Saccharomyces cerevisiae S288C: one gene and its partner. Changing the gene in region 1 together with any one later gene gives a genetic interaction. Each region holds a gene or a part of one and is shown on either strand. Other genes may lie near its edges.

Region 1 (5,985 bases):
TTTTTATCATATTTCAATTTTAACCGGACTTTTTGCTTCTATTCTTGTGAAGCGCATCCAAAAGCGGAAATATCTATCATTCAAAAAGAAAGTTTATTTTTAAGTTTAAACTTTACAAGCCACAATAAGGTATATAGGTCGTTTTGTTTTCAGACATGCATCATTGACTATTTCCTATGAATTTTGATGAATATTACTAAGATAAAAAAACACTGTAAATTGCTCATCAACTGTTTTCCTCTACAAACAAATCTACACTTGGCTGGCATGGGTGAATCGTTTAGCGTGTTCTTTTTTTTTTCGCGGCTTCTTTAGATTGCGCCTGTTAGTAAGATGCCCGCTGTCAACAATCTGCTCAATGCGGTATTCACAATGATATCTGTGATATTTCAAGCCTCACTTGCTAAAGATGAGTTCCGTGGATCTTTGGTGAAAAGAACAATAAGAGGTTGTCATATTCTTGGGAAGGGGCTTATCATGCAGCAAAAGACTTATGCGTATATATAGTTTTCATAATAAAGGGATAAGATACCTTGCCTGTTTCATTCTATAATAATAAACCCTGTAAAAGTATGTAATAGACAGTCAGCACTTTTCACCACTTCGAACATGGCAAAAGACGGCTTCGAGTTATATAGATACACTCCGGAATTAGGTGCGAGTATACTTTTTACGGTACTTTTTGCAGTATCAGGGGTAGCATTTGTAATTTTACTATTCCATTATTCTGTGAAAAGTAAAAGGAGAGTTGGCTCTCTTATGAAGTCCCAACCCGTATTGCGGTATTACGGTACGGTAAACTTAGCAGGAGCGTACATTCCCTTTATATTTGGGTGTTTTGTTGAGTGTGTGGGCTTTGCGTTTAGATGTAAATCAAGCAAAGACACCACACTACTAAACCCCTATATTATTCAAACGGTTTTCTTGCTGGTGTCTCCAACATTATATGCTGCCAGTATTTACATGATTTTTGGTAGAATGGCTACTCTGCTGTTCGCAGAAAACTTAATGATCATGCCCGCTAGATTCAATACTACAATATTTGTGATTGGCGATGTAGGCAGTCTTCTATTACAAGCAATTGGTGGTGCTATGATGTCTAAAGTGACAAGTGCATCTTCTGGTTCTCATCTCGTTACAGCTGGTTTGTTCATTCAAATTGCTTTTTTTGGTCTCTTCATTATAAATGAGGTTTTGTTCATTTTCAAGATGAGCAAAAAACCAACCAATGTATCGGTAAGGTATGGTAGTTGGAAATACCTAAACATTGCTTTATTGGTGAACAGTTTCCTGATTTTAATTAGGTCGATCGTCAGAGCTGTTGAATTTATTCAGGGTTATGACGGAGAAATTGCCTCGCACGAGTGGTATCTTTATATTTTTGATGGTTTACCAATGTTTTTACTCGTATTAATTTTTATTGTGGCGTTCCCACTAATTAACATTTTTAGAATACATGAAGAGTCTATTCAAGCGCAACAATCAGCAAGATTTGACGGCACCGACTATCCTGACGTTGAGGTGACGTCTATCGAAGAAGATCTCGCTTCAAAGAGCGAATAAACTGCTTTCTATATTTACATGTGGGAAATGTGGTTTTATTCTGTATTTGAGCTAGTGAAGTGCTGCTAGTATAAATTTAAGTAATCTTTCATATATTGCCAGTGGGGTTCTAGCACTTTAGTGAGAGTATTTGGATAACTGATACAACAATGTAGTCCGTTACCAGGAGTAGAGATTACGCTTAGTGAGAAAATTGAAGATATTCCTTGCGGCTCGTTGAATGTAGCATCCACTATATAAAACGGTAAACTGGTGTTGCATGCATCTTTAAATGTTTGAAATCCTAAGTTTGTTACTTCAAATGTGGAAGAAGGTCCGTTATTCAAGCTAATTTTATCTTCTATGTATTGTTGAGAAGAAATAACCTCCAATAACTTTACTTCGTTTACTTTATCTATTATTTTATCCTCGGAACTGCTTCTTATGGCCCTTTGAATTTGAGAAGCGATATCCCATATTCCACGGTTTTGATGTAGTTTATGGTTGAATTCTATGACCGCAATAAAATTTCCCACGGCGAGCTTATCATCTGAAGGTAATTTCAAGACTCGTTCAAAAGGCTTTCTAATATTCATTGGTAATTCAATTTTCAAAAATGATCCGGTATACTCATGTGCAGCTATTTTTTCGAAACTGGTGCAGACCAGGGCACCTAAAAGGGAAGTCAACGAAGTATTATTGGCCTTGCATTCTTGTAAAATGTCGTTGAGATGGGTCGGCGATAATCGAAACTCCCATTGATGGTTCGTGTTTTTAACTTTGTATTTTTGAGTTCCATCGCTCGGTTTATCATCCAGCAGGTCTTTTGGAAATGAGTAGTTGGCAAATTGGATTAAATTTCTATTGTTTTTTACGACTGTTTGTGGAAACCAATAATGTAGTCTACTGACCAATTGTCGCACTATATGCCAATTCCAAGGTATGGGCCAATCTCCGTATAGTGGGGCTGACATTATTTTTTCAGTTGATGAATTTAATGATGGTGAATATATTGTTTCATCAATTTCAACCGGCTGTTGCATCTGTAGGCCTTCCATAAACGTTTCCCACACATGAATAGCGGACATCCCATCCATGAGAACATGATCTGTCAGCAATAGCATTTGATTTTGATTAGGGAGGATCAGAATTTTCCATAAAGGTTTATTCTCGTTGTATGAAAAGTTATACCTTTGAAAGATGTGGTTAATTTCGGTTTCCCCTAACTGGTCCCAATCGTGGCGGTATTCTACTAGATCGCAAAATTTCAGTGGCTCAAGAATGTTTTGTAGGAAGTTTTCCTTTTTCAATTCATCATAGAATACATTACAAGTCAAACGTTCATGTTGGATTACAGTATACTTAAGAGCCGCTATCAGTTGACTTTTTTTGGGCAATTCGTTGAGTTTGATTCCGACATAAAAACATGAATGCAAATTTAGTCTGCTTCTATGGAAAAAGTAACTTTCAATAGCAGAAAGTTTAAGATTCATTCTTGCGCTTTTTCCTTTTCGTAAAAATATCTGTAGATTGTTCGTTTTGACAGCATTTATAGTTGTCCTCTTTACCTCTGCTCCGCACAAGTTGAGTTAAAAGAAAGAATATAAAGCAAAAACCTAAAAAAAAAGATATGAAGCAGGAGCCAAAAAATGCTGTATTATCTATTTCAACTATTATACAAAAGTTTAAAAATATAGGTAAATCTTCAAGACTGCGCTATCTATTTGAATAAAAACGAATAAGTATTATCATATCAAATGAGTGCTTGTGTGGTTAGGATATATGTAAAGAGGAAGAGGAAAGGGGGAGGTGATACCGAGGCCAACGATCGTTACTCAACCTTGATATCGGACAATCCCAGGTCTTCATTTTGCTCTTTAGTTCTTTCATAATCTTCGATAGTCATGTTTGGATCCGGATCTGGGGCGTAGACATTTTGTATGTACGACCCGGCCAATGGATCTTCCATAATGACTGTGAACTTGACTTTCCCAGCGATGGCCTCCTTTAGCTTGGCAAAAAATTCTACCCAGCGGGCTTTCGTTGCTTCGTCCATGGAATCCGAAGTTTGAGTGAAAATACGGGATTCTAGTTCTTCGTAGACTTGTCTTAGTAAACCTTCCAAAGTGGTGAATCTACCACCCAATGTACCTTCTTGAATATCAAGATGTAATTCAGGAATTACCATACTACAGGTCTCAGATTTCAAAATATCACGGGACAAGTCAGCTGCATCGTCACAGTATAAAGTAATCCTTCTTCCTTTGTCAGGGATGGCACCACCGGTCTTCACCTCATTAGACTTATAACCACAATGATCGCAGACCGTCGACATGATAATGACTTCTTTAAAGTGTGGGATATTTACTGGCTTCATATGAGTTTCACACTCTTGGGTACACGATGGACAAGAAGCTCTGAATGTTTGCACCTCGTTGTTAAAGTTTTCGATGTCGGTGGCGTCTGACAAAAACTGTGGGTTTGCTGAGCCAACTTTGACAGATTCAGAAGGATTTCTTTCACGGTTGGCCAATTGTTTTAATTGTTCTTGGCGACGTTGCTCCAACTGGTCTCTAGTAATAATGCCAACTTGAACGTTTTGTTCGTCGGTTCTCACGTACTGGGTATGAGACCATTTGTGTTGAGGTTCACCGGGTTTGTATTCGATCCAGGAATTTCCCGCAGGATCATCCAAAATAAATGTAATCGGAATAGTGTTGGGTTCACAATTGATGTAGGATTTAACTTTCTGTATGAAGTCATCGATCTTCTTGTAAAGAGCTTCGTCTATAGATTTTCTCATTTCCTGGTCTTGCGACAGATCGTCGATCATCTCGGATAACAAACCTTCAACTGTCGTCAATTGACCTCTCTTAGCAGGAATCTCAATGTCTAGCTCGACAAACTTACAAGTGGCAGTTTCTGACTTAATAACTTGCCTGTTAAAATCTTCACGGCACTCCACTTTCAAAACGTAACGAGAGCCCTTCTCTTGAATTTGAGAAGCGGGTTGGATCTCACAGTTCTTAAACCCACAGTGAGGACAGTCGAATGACATAATAATTATTTCTCTGAAATAAGGGATGGAAGTCAGAAGAAGTCTGGTTGTACCGTTCTTTCCACAATTCATACAAAGAGACTCTATCTCTTGCACTGGATGGCCCATGGCGTCCTGTGCGCCGGTTAACTTGACGCCGTCATTAGCTTTGTTCTGTTCGGCTATGCTTTCATCTTCGACCTCTGCAGCAGCTTCTCCTACTGGTTTAAACAAATCTTCCTTTTGTTCGCTCATTATTTTCTATCCTATTTCTTAACGGTATAGGTATAATATGTATCTCTGTGTATATATGCGACTAGCTATTGCTAACGATGCGAACCTACCCGATAACGCTATGATTTCCTTTGCGTTGAACATCATAGCATTATAAATGTGCATCTCATCGCTGAAAAATTTTCGTCAACTATAAACTTTTAGGATATTCTAGCCCTGATGGGGCTAGAATATTCTAGAAAACTCCAGAGGGTTTCGGCACAATTTATTGTAGGGTTAGTAAGGGCTTTTTTATCAAGGTGAAAAATTCACTCGATGCCTTTTTTTTTTTTTCTCGAATAGATAGATATGCAAGAAATGTAATGCTATGCAGTGCAAAACAGATGTGTAAGTGTTCTAGGATGAATTGTAATGAGAGTTGGTTTTATTTTCATTTTGCGTTTTCGTTTTCCGTCTTTTAGCTTTTGTCCAACTAACTTGTAGTATAAGCTGTCTGTAAGAATAAAACGGAAATAGAGCCAGTATGCCCAGGGATCCATTGATTGGTATTGTGGGTAAGCCATCTTCAGGGAAATCCACCACATTAAATTCTTTGACGGACGCAGGTGCGGCGGTAGGAGCATTTCCCTTTACCACGATCGAGCCAAATCAGGCAACCGGCTACTTGCAAGTTGAGTGTGCTTGCTCCAGATTTGGCAAGGAAGATCTTTGTAAACCTAACTACGGGTGGTGTAGCAAGGGTAAGAGGCATATCCCCATCAAACTGTTGGATGTGGCAGGGCTTGTGCCTGGAGCGCATTCCGGCAGAGGGCTTGGAAATAAATTCTTGGATGATTTAAGACACGCAGATGCTCTTATTCATGTGGTGGACGTTAGTGGAACCACAGATGCAGAGGGGAAGAACACAAGAGGATATGATCCATTGAACGATATAGAATGGCTGCAAGACGAAATCAGGCTTTGGGTTGAGGGGAACCTGAAGAAAAGATGGGGGTCTATTGTGCGTAAACATACAGCAACGAAATCTAGCATAGTGGACACACTTCAAGCGCAATTCGGTGGGTACGGTTCACATGCGCCCATGATCCAAAAAGCCCTGGACAGGTTGAAGGGACTACCACCTTTGGAAAAATGGGATGACGAATGGATCACTCGAGTGGTCAAGTCCTTTA
Region 2 (4,865 bases), on another chromosome or scaffold:
CCCTTGGTATTTAAAACTGCTGCCAAATCTCGTTTATTTTAATCCCTACCGATAGCTCATCATTGAGAGCTTCCGCAATATCCGCACATTTCGTGGAGCGCTTCACGTGAAAAGAGTGGCCCATTGAAAAAAAAGCTGAAACATTCGTAGCGACAACCCTGGCGACAAGCGTGGCGACAACCGCAATAGCCGCCACAGCCGCAATAGCTACACATCACCTTTTTGGGCTTAAAGTGGTAGGTAATTTTGCTTGGCGCGGTTACCTACCACTCTAAGCCGCAACAACAGAACACGTATGGAAAGCTTGCCGCAATTGTCATCGTTCTGGCTAGTTCATTCAACGTTTTAGGTTTCCACCCCGTTACATTTGCACGTTCAGCGTAATGAGCGTGGGTACTCGATGATTGTCGTTTGTTAAGGCTAATCTAGTTGAAAAAGAAACGCGTGAAAAATGTTATTGAAGTTTCTTATCCAATTAAGATTTCAGCTTTTCAGCTTTTTTTCTAGGCGCTCACTTGGTTCCATACCATTCTTTTCAAAAAGTCTGCCATGTAATTATACGAATACTGTGAATCTTTTATGATAGCATGCTCCTATTATAGATGTGATCGATGTCTGTGTGCTTCTGGGCTTACAAACGAGGATATGCACACAAGGTTCCAAATTGCCGAAGCTGCAAAGAAGCAAGCAGGCTCCTGAAGCACCGAATCAAGATCAAATCATTGTAGCGACTTATTTTAGATGAACTTTGGAAAGCGGCGTCTATAAAAGTATAAAAAAATACAGCAAGAAACCTTTTTAAAATCTACTAGCAAAGAGAGAAAGGAAATGACTACATTAGGTGCGATATCAATAATATCGAATTGATGAAATATGAAAATAAAATTTTATGCCTGGGGAAAAGTTCGGTAACATCAAATCAGTGCTTTATTTGAGTATCTTCCGCCTGTAATTCCTCACATAAAAAAAAAAAGCTTTTTACACCTCCTTATGCCCATGCGCCCACGCATTTGTTTGTAGCTTTGCATTGGCCTTGTTGGTCTAGTGGTGTAGGCGCCCTTCAAAAGTTGCGTTTCTTGGGTGGGAGAAGTCCGAAAAATGCGTATCCGAGTGTACAACGGTTTTTTTTCAGGGACAATATGCCAAGGAATACCGTAAGCAACGGCTGCGCTAATACATCCATTAAAAATATCTCTCCTTGCTTAAGGTCTCACACCCAAAATGACAATGAGAGTGCTATTTTAGTTGTTCATCAATTTAGTATATACCAGCTCCCACAGGACGACGATTCTGACCCTTTCTATTTAAATAGCTCCTTACATCGAGAAGATCTCTGCAGCTAATCAAATCAATTAATATTTCAGATTTGTCGCGATTTTGAAATATATACTATAGGTTGTTATCTATCATATGCAATGTTCTGCACGTTATTTACTTCGATCTGATCTTAAATCAACTCTAAAAAAAGAAACCGATAAGTCCCTTTAACCAACCAAAGCCGAGGGAGTGACAACATGAAAGTGGGTTATTTACACGACATAATCATATTGTCGAATAATATCAGTCAAGCATCATGTGAGATCTAAGGGCCTAAAAGGAGAGCTTTGTAAATGGAGCAAAGCTCTTCGAGAGATTCTTGACTACCAACAACATTCTTTGTTGAAGCAACAACAATATTCATCCCCTTTACATTAGTCGAACAAACACCCAAGGAAAATGCTTGGTGCCAGGATCCTTGAAATTGGCCAAATGCCAAATCGCATATAGAATATTTGGCATCGGGCTCCTCTAACTGATTAAACAGACCTACATTGCTTAACAATGTACCTCCGCGTCTTTTCCCGATGGCACGATCGCACATTACCTTGTCAATGTTCACATATTTTTGAACGAAGCCTTGTATATTGAACCCTAAGCCATGGAGATGCTTTTTATTTCTTAAAGCTTCCGAAATTACTTCATGGTAGTGCTCAATAAGTGGCCAAAAATTTTCTTTGTTATCATTCATGTCAAATTCGCTTATCCAGGGGGTGAAGTCAATAAATCCAACGTTAGCGCCATATCTGTACATCTGTCTCATTTCATCATCATCTGGTAGTTGTGAGCGGCAATCTGCGGGGATAAAAATATCCGTAAGCCATTCGAAGTTCAATGGTTTGAAAAATTTACCCCATTTATGAAGAGATACAAACCAACAAACATGTAAAAACGGAGTGATAGTACACTTACCTTGGATATTTGATTTAATATTTGCTTTAATCGCTTGAAATTCTGTTGGTGAAATATTGATGATCTCGGTGACAACATCATCGGTTTTTTCCACATCATCCATTCTCATACAGACACCTTTTGAAGAAAATCTCAAATGATTGTAGATGAAACCCGAAAGAAGTGACTTCGGAATAAACAAGTACGGTGGTCTAAAGTCTATCACCTTTTCGATCGGTTCTGGAAGTTTCCTCAATAATTGGTAATCCTCCTCGTACTTGAAAATGTAATCTAATTTTTTTGGTGGAGTTTTAATATTATTTAATTCGTCTCTTAAATCATGAAAAAAGTGGATCGAAGACCGACCATCAGACATGCAATGATTAGATACAAAGATAAATTTTTTCCACTTTTCTGTGTGCTCTTCTGGAAGACAAATTAGCCGCCAACTCGGTCCTGTTGGTCCAAAGTAAGGAATAGTCAAAGTGGTAGTAAGTTTAAAAATTTTTGCAGTATAGGAACCCTTACTATTTTTGAATTCTTCTAATATTTGCTTCATTACTGCACTGTACTCAGGTTGTTCATTGAGAACCACACCACTCAGTTTCAATTCTTGTAATACTGAAATATAATCATGCACTGGATGTGGCCGTGAATAGTATTCGGAACTGCGATAATAATTTTCATGATTTGGCCATCTTGTTGGTAGAACAATATGTAAAAGAGTTGGATTTTTCAGGCAGATTTCCCTCAAAGCTAATGTGAGCTGATCCCTAGTACAGTAATCACTCAATTCTCCATATGTGCAGAAGTTTCGATATAAGTTTTGTCTGTTGAGAGCAACATACAGATCTTCAACAGATCCCATACGCCGAGCATGCCCATTCTGAATCATCTCTTTCAGGCATTCTTGTTGCACGGGGGCCTGATTTTTCTCATCGATTTCATTCATGAGAGCTGATAAATTGATGGTATTTGTGATACTGATGAAGTGCCGTTTTTTATTTTCTTGTCTCGAATTTTTGTTGGGTTGGCTTCAAAAAGACGCTTCCAGAGATCCATAAAAAACAATAGGATTATATTCAGAGTCCGCTCAACGCGATGACAATACCAGGCCAAAAAATGATGTGCGGCAAAAAATATAAAAACCGTAAATCGCAAGCCAATGAGTAGTCCTCACACGCTAGATCTATATATTCGGAAGTGAGAAGACCATCGAGTGCATTGAACCTTAGCTCAATGTCCAAAAAGTCAATTCTAAGGGTGGAATAGTCCTGTGCCAACAAATGAAGCTACAATTTTCTGCTGCCTGGGTCCATAAACCCTAACCTTACTTCTTTGCATTTCTTCGGTTTGCACGTGATCTCAATTGATAATTCCCAATTCTGATTTTACTTGTCAAGTACAAGTACTCTAACATAAGCTTACCACTTCTTAATTATCCGGGTGTCAGTTTATTTTATAAACACGGTAATATTTTGATAATCTTTGGCAACTTTTAGGAAATACTCCTTTACCTATATACATCGCGACCAAAATTAGCAATCTTTTACGATGAGTACCTCAGAAAATACTGTTGAATTCTTTCAAGGGGTAGCAAAACTGTCCAGAGCTTATATCTACCTGTGCTCAAAATACAGTTGAAACCACCTCTTCCTACAGTGGTATAACATATGAGAGAATAAGCTATTAACGGTTGGTCGTTAACACCTCAAAATTGTATATTCCTGTAGTTCACTGTCAGTAAACTGAGATTGTTTATTTGTGCCATTATACCAAATTTAGCACCCTATGTGGCAATTTTTCAGATTTGCCACGCTTTTGCTCTACTTAAATGGAATGCAACAACAAAACTTTGTTTTAGCATCGCGGGATTGAGGATGAAGAGAATACTTATGCATCTCGTCTTGAAATACTGTCGCCCAAACTTCTAAATACGCTTGATTATACCATAAAATTGTCCACCCAAGATGGAATGTCATTACAGGAATATTTATGGCTGTCCTCCTTATCTTCACATTTGAAGGGAGAAATAGAGGGGCGAAAAGAGAAACTATTCGCCGGAAACTTAACGGTAATATTATAGATGTGGGGCTTGCAGTTACCTTTTAGCACCCAACTATAAGTGTATCACACCATTATTAATGAGAAAGTCTTAACATTCCAGGAGGTACAAAATATGACAATCCTAGAAACTCTGTTTGCAGTGCAATGAGTCCAAATTTTTTTTTAACTAAGAGGATGCCTCCTTCGCAAACTGTATAGTTTTCCATTTTCTTCTGCCATTTCATCTTTGGAGTAACTATTATTTCGCCCCTTTTGTTTGCTGCATATCGCCCCGCTCTCTGCATACACGATTGGATAATGACCAAAGCAAGGTTTAATACGCCCACAGTTAGATATCTATAATTTTAGAGTACGATATTCATCATCATAGGCTGAACCTTGCCTTTCCTTGCATTCTTTATTCCCATTGAGGTATATTTTAAAATTTGTTCGGAGGTAAAGAAGGATAAGCTTTTCTAGTAATTTCCCTCCTCGATCGGCCTCAGATTTCCCGTCATAAAATATACGCGCCATGGAGAGATTTAATGACATAGATGTGCCGCAAAAGCATACACAGCGTATTTTCTTTGAGTATTTAATAGGTAAGCTAA

Evidence for each region. Genes that interact genetically often act in the same process or in processes that back each other up.
Region 2: of SLI1 (region 1) and ATF1, changing one suppresses a phenotype caused by changing the other (phenotypic suppression), as found in Saccharomyces cerevisiae (one study listed by BioGRID).

Annotation. Positions count from the first base shown.
Region 1 is NC_001139.9:914,090-920,074, reverse strand, and holds SLI1 (N-acetyltransferase), read right to left. Parts: upstream 3,036-5,985; coding exon 1,629-3,035; downstream 1-1,628. Other genes in the region: RTA1 (Rta1p), read left to right, coding at 610-1,563; zinc finger-containing protein ZPR1, read right to left, coding at 3,374-4,834; YGR210C (uncharacterized protein), read left to right, coding at 5,337-5,985. UniProt on the Saccharomyces cerevisiae protein: Confers resistance to the sphingolipid biosynthesis inhibitor drug myriocin (ISP-1). Inactivates ISP-1 by converting it into N-acetyl-myriocin. Cooperates with YPK1 in mediating resistance to myriocin.
Region 2 is NC_001147.6:1,044,521-1,049,385, reverse strand, and holds ATF1 (alcohol O-acetyltransferase), read right to left. Parts: upstream 3,161-4,865; coding exon 1,583-3,160; downstream 1-1,582. Other genes in the region: YOR376W-A (uncharacterized protein), read right to left, coding at 4,035-4,190. UniProt on the Saccharomyces cerevisiae protein: Major alcohol O-acetyltransferase that uses acetyl-CoA to synthesize acetate esters from various alcohols, producing ethyl acetate, isoamyl acetate, isobutyl acetate, butyl acetate, hexyl acetate, heptyl acetate and octyl acetate.